3 linked regions of the Oryctolagus cuniculus genome follow. The protein of the gene in region 1 interacts with the protein of each later gene in a biochemical or structural test. Links are inferred from orthologs where the notes say so. Each region holds a gene or a part of one and is shown on either strand. Other genes may lie near its edges.

The links.
Region 2: the proteins of PTEN (region 1) and STUB1 form a complex in vitro, tested with the Homo sapiens proteins (2 studies listed by BioGRID, with this or other methods). The link is inferred for Oryctolagus cuniculus from reciprocal best matches to the Homo sapiens genes PTEN and STUB1.
Region 3: the proteins of PTEN (region 1) and RPS13 form a complex in vitro, tested with the Homo sapiens proteins (2 studies listed by BioGRID). The link is inferred for Oryctolagus cuniculus from reciprocal best matches to the Homo sapiens genes PTEN and RPS13.

The regions. Positions count from the first base shown.
Region 1 is NC_091446.1:42,814,300-42,818,339, reverse strand, and holds the start of PTEN (phosphatidylinositol 3,4,5-trisphosphate 3-phosphatase and dual-specificity protein phosphatase PTEN), read left to right. Parts: upstream 1-1,240; 5' UTR 1,241-1,241; coding exon of another isoform or gene 1,242-1,268; 5' UTR 1,269-1,785; coding exon 1,786-1,853; intron 1,854-2,312; exon of another isoform or gene 2,313-3,222; coding exon 3,223-3,317; intron 3,318-3,480; exon of another isoform or gene 3,481-4,040. UniProt on the Homo sapiens protein: Dual-specificity protein phosphatase, dephosphorylating tyrosine-, serine- and threonine-phosphorylated proteins.
Region 2 is NC_091450.1:34,026,459-34,029,729, forward strand, and holds STUB1 (E3 ubiquitin-protein ligase CHIP), read right to left. Parts: upstream 2,068-3,271; coding exon 1,912-2,067; intron 1,745-1,911; coding exon 1,546-1,744; intron 1,471-1,545; coding exon 1,305-1,470; exon of another isoform or gene 1,221-1,304; coding exon 1,133-1,220; exon of another isoform or gene 1,011-1,132; coding exon 768-1,010; exon of another isoform or gene 698-767; coding exon 572-697; 3' UTR 501-571; downstream 1-500. Other genes in the region: JMJD8 (jmjC domain-containing protein 8), read left to right, coding at 65-132, 206-340, 417-497; RHBDL1 (rhomboid-related protein 1), read right to left, coding at 2,407-3,061, 3,133-3,193, 3,263-3,271. UniProt on the Homo sapiens protein: E3 ubiquitin-protein ligase which targets misfolded chaperone substrates towards proteasomal degradation.
Region 3 is NC_091432.1:49,244,795-49,248,859, reverse strand, and holds RPS13 (small ribosomal subunit protein uS15), read right to left. Parts: upstream 2,801-4,065; 5' UTR 2,605-2,800; coding exon 2,582-2,604; intron 2,437-2,581; coding exon 2,388-2,436; intron 2,267-2,387; coding exon 2,188-2,266; intron 1,539-2,187; exon of another isoform or gene 1,449-1,538; intron 1,307-1,448; coding exon 1,137-1,306; intron 817-1,136; coding exon 716-816; intron 191-715; coding exon 157-190; 3' UTR 112-156; downstream 1-111.

The DNA of each region.
Region 1 (4,040 bases):
CTCTGAGCTGGGCCTCCTGAGGTTTCTAGTCTTCAGGGGCTGCCTGTAATGATGATGTGCACATTTACAATCTTCCTCACAAGAAAACTCGGCTTTAGACCTTTCTAGGTATCTACTCACCATTTATCACAACACATGTGCCAACTGATTCCCATTTTCTCAGATGTCAAAAAAAAAAAAAAAAAAAAAAAAAGAAAAAAAGAGAAAAAGAAAAAAACAACCTAGGGCTTCAGCCTGGTCTAAGTCAGATACTTCTGAACTCAAATTTTCCCCTGGAATTCTACTTTCCTGGAGCGGGGCGCCGGGTGGGGTGGGAGGAGAGTGGGGGGAAATGAAAGAGAGAAAAAAAAATTCGTAGGTTGGTGTTGGTTGACGCCCCTTCTCATTTTGAAGCTGACTGATGTGCGTATTTTGGGGAGGGGGTTGAGGAGGCGCTCTAGGTCTAAGCATTTGTGAACCAGCTCACTCACTGGATAGGTCAACCACGGGGCTGCAGAAAGACTTGACAGGTTTGTTCTGGGCATACGGCCAAGGACTAGACCAGATAAGGCACTTGGCTGAGTCTACAGTAGGTGGGGCGTGCTCACCAGTGCAGGGGTAGCGACTCAAAAGTTTGTTGCAACACCTGCAATCCAAGCAGCAGGCGCAGCGGGAACGAGCCTTTGGCCCCGACAGCACGGAACCAGAGGGTTCACCCCAACCAACGAGGGAGATGCGCCAGATCCCTCGGGCCCGGCCCCTTTTCCCACGGTTGAGAACAAGCAGTGCTTGTCAATCCACAGCAGAGAGAGCTCACTCCGTGGGTAGCAGAAGGGTGAGAGCAGCGGTGCACGGGAGCGGGGGCACGTGCTTGGATGGGGGTGCCTGCCCAGCAGCTAGCCCAGACAGCGATCCTGTGGAGGCTCCACTGGCCATCCCCAACCCCGTCCCTCTGCAGCCTGGGAGGGTGTGGGGGTGCTGCCCGCGCCAGGCGGGAGCACCCCGAGCGTAGCTGGCGAAGCACTTGCCTCCGGAGCTACGCTTGGAGGAGTGGGAATTTGGAAAGTTCCCCAACTCGGAGCACACGTGACCCCTTCCTGAAAGTAGTTCCGACGGTGGCTCGGGTATCCTTCCACCCCCTTTTGAACCCTCCTAGGGCTCCTCGCCCCGCCCACTCGCGGGGCTGCCGCTTCCTACCGTCCTGAACGCCGCGCCCGGGCCGGCAACCTGGGCCTCCAGCGTGCACCGGCCGGCCCGGCGAGCGCGGAAGCTGGCCGCGGGCGATTCATCGTGCCAGGTTTTCTCAGCGGCCCGGAGAGTGGGCGGGGCGAGGCAGCCTCTGAGGACCGAGCTCGAGTTCGACGCCGCGAACGGACCCGGAGCCTGAGGGGACAGATGCTCAGCTCTCCGGGGGCCGCGGAGGGAGCTGTGGGGGTGCGTCCCGCTCACGGGGATCCTCTTTAAGGCGGCCTAGGCAGGAGGCCCTCGGGCCCTGGGAATTCGGGGCGGGGGGCGACGTGTGCACTCTAGCGCGCCCGGCTGAGAGCTTTCGCTTTTCGGGCAAATGAACCGAGTAGCTGGGGCAGCGAGAGGTGGGGCGGTGACTGGAGCCGGATGAGGCGAGACGCGCCGCCGGAGACACAATAGGGGGTCGTTCTTTGTGCTGAGGCTGACACCTTGAGGACCCGGGGGCGGCGGCGGCGGCGGCGGCGCGGGCGCTCTAGGCAGAGGCTGCGACAGTGAGATCCCTGCGAACCGCCGCGATCGTCCACAGCGGGACAAACGGAGTGCGTGCGTTCGCACGCCATGGCGGGGGAGGGGTGTCCTCGCGGCATTTCCCTAGATACTGACCCGCGCGGTCCACCTGTGCACAGGTAACCTCACACTGCAGTCGGCGACACCGCTCAACGCACCAGTCTCAGTTTTCATCATCCACCTTCCTCCGCCCCCACGCCGCCCCGCCGCAGTCTGCCCTGGCTCCGGCCGGGTGTCCGGGCAGAGGCCGAGGCTGAGCTCGTTCCCCCGCCCCGAGCTGCTGCAGGAGCAGCCGCGGCAAGTGCAGCTACGGGCGGGCGCCTCGGAACAAGCCCGAGCGAGCCCCAGGCAGTCACACTGGGCATGCTCAATAGCACCAGCAGGTTGGGGGCCCTGCGCTCGCACCTGGAGCTGCCGCCCCCGCCCCCCACCCCACCCCGGCGCGGCCCAGCCCTCCCCTCCCCCGGCGCGGTCCCGTCCGCCTCCAGCTCGCCCCCCGCCTCCCCTCGGGCTCCCGAGGCGGCCCGGCTCCCGGCGCGGCGGCGGCGGCGGAGGGGGCGGGCAGGCCGGCGACGGTGATGTGGCGGGACTCTTTGTGCACTGCGGCAGGATACGCGCCCGGGCGCTGGGACGCGGCTGCGCTCAGTTCTCTCCTCTCGGAAGCTGCAGCCATGATGGAAGTTTGAGAGTTGAGCCGCTGTGAGGCTAGGCCCGGCTCAGGCGAGGGAGATGAGAGACGGCGGCGGCCGCGGCCCAGAGCCCCTCTCAGCGCCTGTGAGCAGCCGCGGGGGCAGCGCCCTCCGGGAGCCGGCCGGCCTGCGGCGGCGGCAGCGGCGGCGTTTCTCGCCTCCTCTTCGTCTTCTCTTCTAACCGTGCAGCCTCTTCCTCGGCTTTTCTTGCGAGGGAAGGTGGAAGCCGTGGGCTCAGGCGGGAGCCGGCTGAGGCGCGGCGGCGGCGGCGGCGGCGGCGGCACCTCCCGCTCCTGGAGCGGGGGGGAGAAGCGGCGGCGGCGGCGGCGGCCGCGGCGGCTGCAGCTCCCGGGAGGGGTTCGGAGCCGCCTGTCACCATTTCCAGGGCTGGGAACGCCGGAGAGTTGGTCTCTCCCCTTCTACTGCCTCCAACACGGCGGCGGCGGCGGCGGCACATCCAGGGACCCGGGCCGGTTTTAAACCTTCCCTCCGCCGCCGCCGCACTCTCCCTGGCCCGGGCTCCGGAGGCCGCCGGAGGAGGCAGCCGTTCCGAGGATTATTCGTCTTCTCCCCATTCCGCTGCCGCCGCTGCCAGGCCTCTGGCTGCTGAGGAGAAGCAGGCCCAGTCGCTGCAACCATCCAGCAGCCGCCGCAGCAGCCATTACCCGGCTGCGGTCCAGAGCCAAGCGGCAGCAGAGCGAGGGGCATCAGCTACCGCCAAGTCCAGAGCCATTTCCATTCTACAGAAGAAGCCCCGCCACCAGCAGCTTCTGCCATCTCTCTCCTCCTTTTTCTTCAGCCACAGGCTCCCAGACATGACAGCCATCATCAAAGAGATCGTTAGCAGAAACAAAAGGAGATATCAAGAGGATGGATTCGACTTAGACTTGACCTGTATCCATTTCTGCAGCGGCAGCTCTCTGCCTTTCTGTCACTCGCATAACGTGGGAGTAGACGAGTGCGAAAATGTTCCGTAGTTTGGGGTAGCTGTAGCGTTGAGCCCTGGTCAGATTTCCAGAGCATGGATTTTTGTGTCTCTTTTCGGGTGTATTCCGCCCAGGGTGTGTTCAGCTAGACGGAACTCGTGCCTGGTTGCAAGTGTCAAGGCACTGATTGGTTTCGTAGTGCATGTATGTGGTCTCTTCCTAAGGGCCATTGTCCGTTAATGCCGAATACTGTACACTGTTGATGGATTAGTGGGCTCGATAATCCGGTCTTGTAGGTGAACGAAAAAGTAGACGCTTGGAGATTGAGCATATTTCGATTCAATCTTGTTAGGCCCTAGATCAAGGGTATAGATCAGATTAAAATGAAAATTAGTGTTCCGCGTCCGCATATTGCATCAGAATCGCGCAGTGATTTGTTTTTAGTTTCTAGGGTTGCATTGGTAGATTCTTTTAAAAATGTGAATTGTGGACTGATTGGTGTAAGTTTAGAAGCAAAACCATTTTCAGTATATGTGGTGTGTGTGGGGAGGGCAAAAGTAGGTTTGTATGTGTAAATGAAGTTAATTACAGCTTGCAACTGCACTTAGAAGTTTTGTAGTTTGAAATCAGTAGTGCCACAGTGCACCTTATAAGGTTCGATTCACTAAATCTTTGTTCAGTTAGCCGTTTT
Region 2 (3,271 bases), on another chromosome or scaffold:
CGGGAGCCGGGGACGGGGGCAGGGCAGGGGGGTGTGGTTTTTTGCTCACCCGCCAAACCCACAGGCGCGGGCACCGGGGTGCCCTTCCACTGGCACGGGCCCGGGTATTCGGAGGTCATCTACGGCCGCAAGGTCAGTGCCGTGGGCAGGGGCTGGGCGCGCGGACCCGCGGACCCGGGGTGAGCGTGCGCTTCCCCTCCCCCAGCGCTGGTTCCTGTACCCGCCCGAGAAGACGCCGCAGTTCCACCCCAACGAGACCACGCTGGCCTGGCTCCGGGACACGTACCCAGGCCTGGCCCCGGCCGCGCGGCCGCTCGAGTGCACCATCTCCGCGGGCGAGGTCCGGGCCGGGGCCGGGGCCGGGGCCGGGGCGGGGGAGGCGAGGCCCCCCGCTGACGCCCGCGCCCCTCCCGCAGGTGCTGTACTTCCCGGCCCGCTGGTGGCACGCCACGCTCAACCTGGACACGTGCGTGTTCATCTCCACCTTCCTGGGCTAGCGCTCGTGCTCACGGACTTTATTGCAGGACAGGGGCGGCGCCGGGGCGGGGGCGGGGGCGGGCCTTGCAGGGGCTCAGTAGTCCTCCACCCAGCCGTTCTCCGAGATGAACGCGTCGATGACCTCCTTCATGGCCAGGTTGGGGATGAGCTGCTCCTGGGTCAGGGGGCTCCGGGTCACGGGGTCAAAGTGGCCCACGCGCTGCGGGGACAGCGGGGTCAGCGGCGCGGCGGGGCGGGGCGCCCGGCCGGGCCGCCGCGGCCGCACCCACCTGCAGGTGCTCCTCGATGTCCTTGCGGTCGTAGGTGATGCCGCTGGGGGTGATGCAGGGCTCCCGCATCAGCTCGAAGCTGATCTTGCCGCACAGATAGTCGGGGACGTCGCGCCTCTGCACACAGGGCGCGCTCAGTGGGCGGGCGGCCGGCACCTGCCCACGGGCCCCGCCGACAAGGCTCACCTTTCTCTTCTCGTCCACTTGCGAGAAGAGCTCGTCCATGTCCGCCAAGTACTTGTCCTGGAAGAAGCGAGGGGGCGCTGCCCCGGGGCCGCACACGGCCCTCCCCCGGCCCAGCGCCGCCTGCCCCCGCCGCCCCCGCCGCCCCCGGGGCCCGCGCCCGCCGGCCGGGCCGCCCTCACGTGCTTGGCCTCAATGCAGGCCTGCTGGGCGCGGACGTGGCCGTCGTCCTCGTCCCCCTCGTGGCTCCGCTGGCACTCCTCCAGCTCCCTGCGGGCGAGCGGCCGCGCGTCAGGACCCGCCCCGCCCCGCCCCGCCCCGCCCCGCTGTCAATAAACGCGCGGAGGGGCCCACCTCTCGCGCTCGGCCGCGATGAGCCTGGCGAGGTAGGCGTGCAGCTCGCTCTCCTGGTGGATGCGCCGCTCCTCCAGGCTGTTCCAGCGCTTCTTCTTGGCGATGCGCAGCGCGCTGGGGATGTCGTCGCCGAAGTTGAGCCGCTGCTCCTTGGCCAGGCTGTAGGCTGCGGGCGCGGGGCGCGCGGTCAGCCCGGCCGGCCGCCCGCAGCCGCGCCGCGCGCCCCGCGCCGCGCGCCCACCTCGCTGCAGGTTGGCGATGGCCTCGTCGTAGCTCTCCAGCTCCAGCTGGCACTGGCCCAGGAAGAAGTGCGCCTTCACCGACTGGCCGTCCAGCTCCAGCGCGCGCCGGCAGTCGGCCAGCGCCTGCTCGTGCTGCTGCATCTTCAGGTAGCACAGGGCGCGGTTGGTGTAGTACACCGCCACCAGCGGGTTGCGCGTCTGGGGAGAGCGGGCGGCCGCGCTGTGGGCGTGCGCGCGGGCCGCACCCGCACCGCACCCGCACCCGGGCGGCCGCCGCCGCCGGGGCCGAGTCAAACGCCCCAAGCCGGGGGGCCCCGAAGGGCCGCGCCCCGGCGCCAGGCCCGCCCCCGGCGCGGCGCACTCACGATGGCGCGGCCGTAGCAGGCCGCCGCCTCCGGGTACTTGCGGCCCACGAAGAGCCGGTTGCCCTGCTCCTTGAGCTCCTGCGCGCTCGGGCTCTTCTCGGGGCTGCCGCCGCCGCCCAGCCGCGCGCCGCCCTCCTTCTCCTCCTTGCCCTTCATGGCGCCGCGCGGCACGGCCTGGGCTCCGCTCGCGGGCTCCGCGCCCGGCCGCCCGCAGCCCGCGCCCCGCTCGGCCCGGCCCGGATCGCCGCCACCGGAACTTCCGGCCGCGGGGGGCGGGGTCGCGCGTGCGCGCTGCGGCGGGGTGGGGGCGGGGCCCGCCGCGCGGAGCCTCCGAAGGACCGCCTCCCTGCGGCCGGGCTCCGCCCCTCCGCGCACGCCCCGCCCCCGGCATGGGGGCAGCGGGAGGCCGAGGCGTGCAGCGCGTGCGGGCCCCCGGGGGCGGGCCCCGCCGGCGGAGACGACCCAGGACGCCCTGACCCGCAGCTGAGTACGGCCTCAGCTGCCGCAGCCGCCCGGGCACCCTGTGCGGCCCGTGAGGCAGCGTCCGCACAGGTGGGAGCGACCCCGCCGGCGCCGCCCCCTCGGCATGGGCGGTGGGACACCGTGCCTGACCGGCCCCAGCCTGGCCCCCTCCCCCACGGCGTGCAGGCCGAACTCGTGGGCCAGGACACCCACCGCCTGTCCCCTGGGGCCGCAGCCCAGTCCCTTCGTAGATGGGAGGGCCCCGCACGGTCCGCGGGAAGCGGGGGGCAGAGACGCCTCCAGACCCCGGACAGCCACCTGGTGCCGTGTAAAATATTTATTCACTCTGCAAAAGGCGCGGACCGCGGACCCGGGGGCGGGGCGGGGGCAGGGCCTCCCCTGTGCCCAGGAGGCGGTCAGGGCGGCGGGGGGACGTGGGCGCCCAGCAGGTCGTAGGCAAAGACGTTCCAGAAGACGGCGAAGAGCAGGAAGGTGCCGTAGGCCAGCAGGACCACCCACCAGCCGCACTGGTCCCGCAGGCGCTCCTCGTAGCTGCGTAGGATGGTGAGGCCCATGCTCACGCCCACCACGGCGCCCGCCAGGTGCGCCATGAAGCTGGGCTGCGGGCCCGAGGCGGGCAGCGGCGGCGAGAAGCGCAGCCACACGGCGCGGCCCACCTCCGAGCTCACTGCGGAGGGAGGCGGCAGGTGGGCGGCGCCCCGCCCGCGGGCCCGCCCCGCCCGCCCCGCCCCTACTCACTGCACACCAGGGCCAGCACCATCCGCAGCAGCTTGTAGGGACACCGCATCCCAGCCCAGTTCTGAGGGGCGCGGAGAGGCCGTGAGACAGGCCCGCGGCGCCCGCCCCGCCCCCCGCGGGCGCCCATTACCATGACGAC
Region 3 (4,065 bases), on another chromosome or scaffold:
TTTAGGGGCCAGTCCAGGGATGAAAGATTCTCACTGCTCCCCACCAGAAACAATCACATATGGATCAGTGATACAGTTTTTTTTTTTTAGGAAAAAAACCCACAAAACACATTTTTAGTTAAACAATGATTTTATTGCTTGAGCGCATAAACAAATTTATGCCACCAGGGCAGAGGCTGTGGATGACTCACTGAAAAGGAAAAAAGGGGAAATAGGGATTAATACTGGTCGTCCATATCCATTCACACACACCCCTGCTAATGGAGCTCTTTCCAAATGGCTAAAGTCAATCAATATGAAGGGCACCAAGTGATGGAGCTGCCCAATCAGCTCAACACTGCTCACTGCTCACTCGGCCAGCCGAGGAAGAACCGGCCAACTCTGGGAAAAACATTTCTGGTGAAAGCTGTGCATGGCTGGGTATCAGTGATCAGAGCACCTCACGCAGAAATCAAAACAGCGCTAACATCTGGAAGCAGAGGTGAGAAACGAGCCCTGACATACTACCCTGAAGAAGCGACAGGGCTTCTGCAGTCCAAACAATACAAACCACGGTGTTGGGCATGGGACACAGGCAGGCCGTCTGTTCACGTACCACCCACGGCTGCTTTCCCATTACCACGGCCAAGCTCAAAGAGCCTCAAGTATTTCTCTGCTGCTAATACTTACTATCTGGCTAATTCCCGTTCCCATTAACAGAAAGGTAGATACTTACTATTTCCAATTGGGGGGGAGGACCCGCTTGGTTTTGTAGTATCGAGCCAACCGGTGAATTCGGCTCTCTATCAGAATCAGGCGGAATTTGGCATCTTTGTCCTAAAAATAAAATTTGAAACAACTCTAAGAAAACCACTCAAAATAACAGGTTAGCAAACATTCATCTAGCGAGGGAACAGAATCACAGAGCACTTTTCCTAATGAAGTTACCCAACGCTCTCGAACAGAATGGCTAGACTGGACTACTGAGGGAGTTTAAGGCTTCTAGGAAAGACTAACAGCAATGGCTGGCAAGCCAAACACCCACCTCCCCAACACTGACAACCAGCTGCACAGGCGACACCACAGAAAACGCTGCTGCTGAAAGCACTGTGGCGAGTCCCCAAGCAGTTCCAGTTCGACTTCCATCCTCTCCTTACCTTCCTGTTCCTCTCCAGGTGTTTCCGAACAGCAACAGCTTTCTTAATTAAGTGATAGAGGTCCTCGGGAAGATCAGGAGCGAGTCCTTTGGACTTCAGGATCCTCAAGATTTTATTGCCGGTCACGAAGCGCACCTGCGCCACGCCGTGGGAGTCCCTCAGGATCACACCTGAAAGGGGGACCTCGAATTCTACTCCAGCACCAAACACACTGCGGCGTGTGATGTGCGCGCCGGGGCTCTGAAACCAACTCGCTCCCCTTGTAAGCTGGGGGGGGGGGGGGGGGTCCCCACAGAAACCTGTACCAGGAGCTCACTCAGACATCCAAGGAAGGTTTACCCAACACTAAGGAAAACCTTTCTGGTGGAAACTGCGAATGGTGGAGGACCATCATCACGGTGAGCTTGCTGAGTACAGCCGACCACAACACTCAGGGTCCCTGCATTGGCACGTCTTTGTCCTGTGATTAAAACCAGCTAACACCCGAGAACTCATACCCACTCTTCTCTAAAAGCTTCCCATACCCTGCTAGTCCTTTTAGACCTCAAGGGAGTCCCTGACTACTGGATCATCTAGTACTTTGTGTCACACCTCCACCACACTCTAAGAGGGCAGGCATCCAAGGGCCCAGAAGCCATGTTCCCCACGCAGCAGGCGAACCTCGGCTGAACGGAGCCACCTGCACGGGCCACACGGCGGGCGCTCTCTTGTGTCAAGCATTCTGGAGTCAACACCGACACCCGCCTTCACGGCTGTATACCCTGGGGCTATCGGCTGTAAGGGGCCTTAGGGGACAACTACCAGTACTGCGGCCTCAGTTCGCGGCGGTCAGAACTTGTAAAGCGCTCGCCATCGGGCACCCAGGAGGATGCTCCATAGACTCTGTCGGGAATTTTCCCGATTTCACCACCTACTACCCAGGGGCCGGAGAGCGCAATGACGAATAAACCTCAGTCCCCAACAGTAACCGCACCCCACCCCCAAAGCGCGCGTGCAGCCTCCACGGTCCCACGAGCAAGCGGAAGGGGCCGCTCTGCACGCACGCACTCACCGATCTGCGAGGGAGTCAGGCCCTTTTTGGCCAGTTTGTAAATCTGCTCCTTCACGTCGTCGGACGTCAGCTTCAGCCACTGTAGAAGGGAGCGAAGGCGCCTGTTAGGCCAGGAAGGCCGGGACCGCGTCCCGGCACAGCAGCCCCTCCCGACTCAACGCCGCGCAAGGCCCCGGGCCCGGCCCCCGGGAGCTACTTACGGTGGGCACGCTGCGGCGATAGGGCAGAGCGGACTGGGACAGGCCCTTCCTAGGAAGAGAAGCAGTGTCGGGTGAAATGGTGGCTCGTGCCCCAGCAGCTCAGAACATCCGCCCCTCGGTCAGCTGCCCACACCATCACCCGTCCTCTCCCTCGCCTCCCAGCCCCGCAATCCGGCCGGCCGCCCCGAACTCACCCGGGAGCGTGCATGCGACCCATGATGGCGGCGGGCAGGGAGCAAAAAGAGAGTGAGGGAGAAAGCGCCGCAGGAAGCCACCCGGCACGCCGGAAGTGACCTCACACGTTCCCGCGTCCTCGCTCCCAGGAGGCGGGGCTCCGCTGCGCAGCCGCTGCGTCCGTGTGACTACAAGTCCCGAAATGCCTCTGGGTGTAGGCGGTGATTCGTCCGCAGGCCACACCTCCCGGCGTACTTAGGCTTCAATGAGGCGCCAGGCGAGAGCGGGAGTCTGACGCCAGCATCCAATCAAAGTTCCCTGCCTTGAGGCCGACGCTGTGGTGCAGTGGGTTGACGCCCTGGCCTGAAGCGCCAGCATCCCATGTTAACTCAAGTTCGAGACCCAGGTGCGCCACTTCCGATTCAGCTCTCTGCTATGGCCTGGGAAACCAGTGGAAAATGGCCCACGTCCTCGAGTCCCTGCACCCACGTGGGAGGCCCAGAAGACGCTCCTGGCTTCAAATCAGCACAGCTTCTGCAGTTGTGGCCATATGGGGGAGTGAACCAGCGAATGGAAGACCTCTCTCTGAGCTCTCTGGAACTCTAGCTTTCAAATAAATTAATTAAAGTTCTCTGCCCATTTTAAAGGTGGGTTCTGAGTTGTTCTGAGTACTAGATCCTTCTCAGATACACTGTTTTCAAATTTTCCTCCCATTCGGTGGGTCATCTTTATTCTCTTTTTTACACAGACTCAAGAAACAGAGATCTTCTATCCACTCATTCACTCCCCAAGTGGCTTCAGTGGCCAGGGCTGGACCAAGCCAAACCCAGGAGCCAGGAATTTCCTCAGGGTCTCGTACAAGGGTGGAAGGGGCACAAGCATTTGGGCCATGTTCTGCTGCTTCTCCCAGGACATTAGCAGTGGGGCAGCCAGGGCTCAAATGGGCACTCCTATGGGATGCTGACACATCTGCTATGCCACAACACCAGCCCCTACCTATGCTATCTTGAGAAGACCCTTTGGTACACAGTCTTCAATTTTGACAAAGTTAATCTTTTTTGTATTTTTTTTTTTTTTTTTGGCTCCTGCTTTTGGTGTCATATCTAAGAATCCATTGTCAAATTCAAGGTTTTTTTCTAAGTTTTAGCTCTTGCGCACTTTAAGTCTTTGATTCATTTTGAGTTAATTTTTATGAGTACGAAGTAAGTCCTTTCTCATTCTTTTCCATATGGTTATCTACTTGTCCTAGCACCGCTTGTTTACAAAACTTTTCTTTACTCATTAAATGGTTTTGGCAGTCTGTGTGTGTCTTCCTTGAATCACGAGTCAAACAAAAATAACTAAATAGTTTCTCTTAAAAAGATTTATTTATTTGAAAGAGTTACAGAGAGCAGAGACAGAGTGAGTCTTCCATCCGCTGGTTCACTCCCCAGTCGGCCACAACGGCTGGAGCCGTGCTGATCCGAAGCCAGGAGCCAGGAGCTTCTTCTCCCACGTGGGTGAA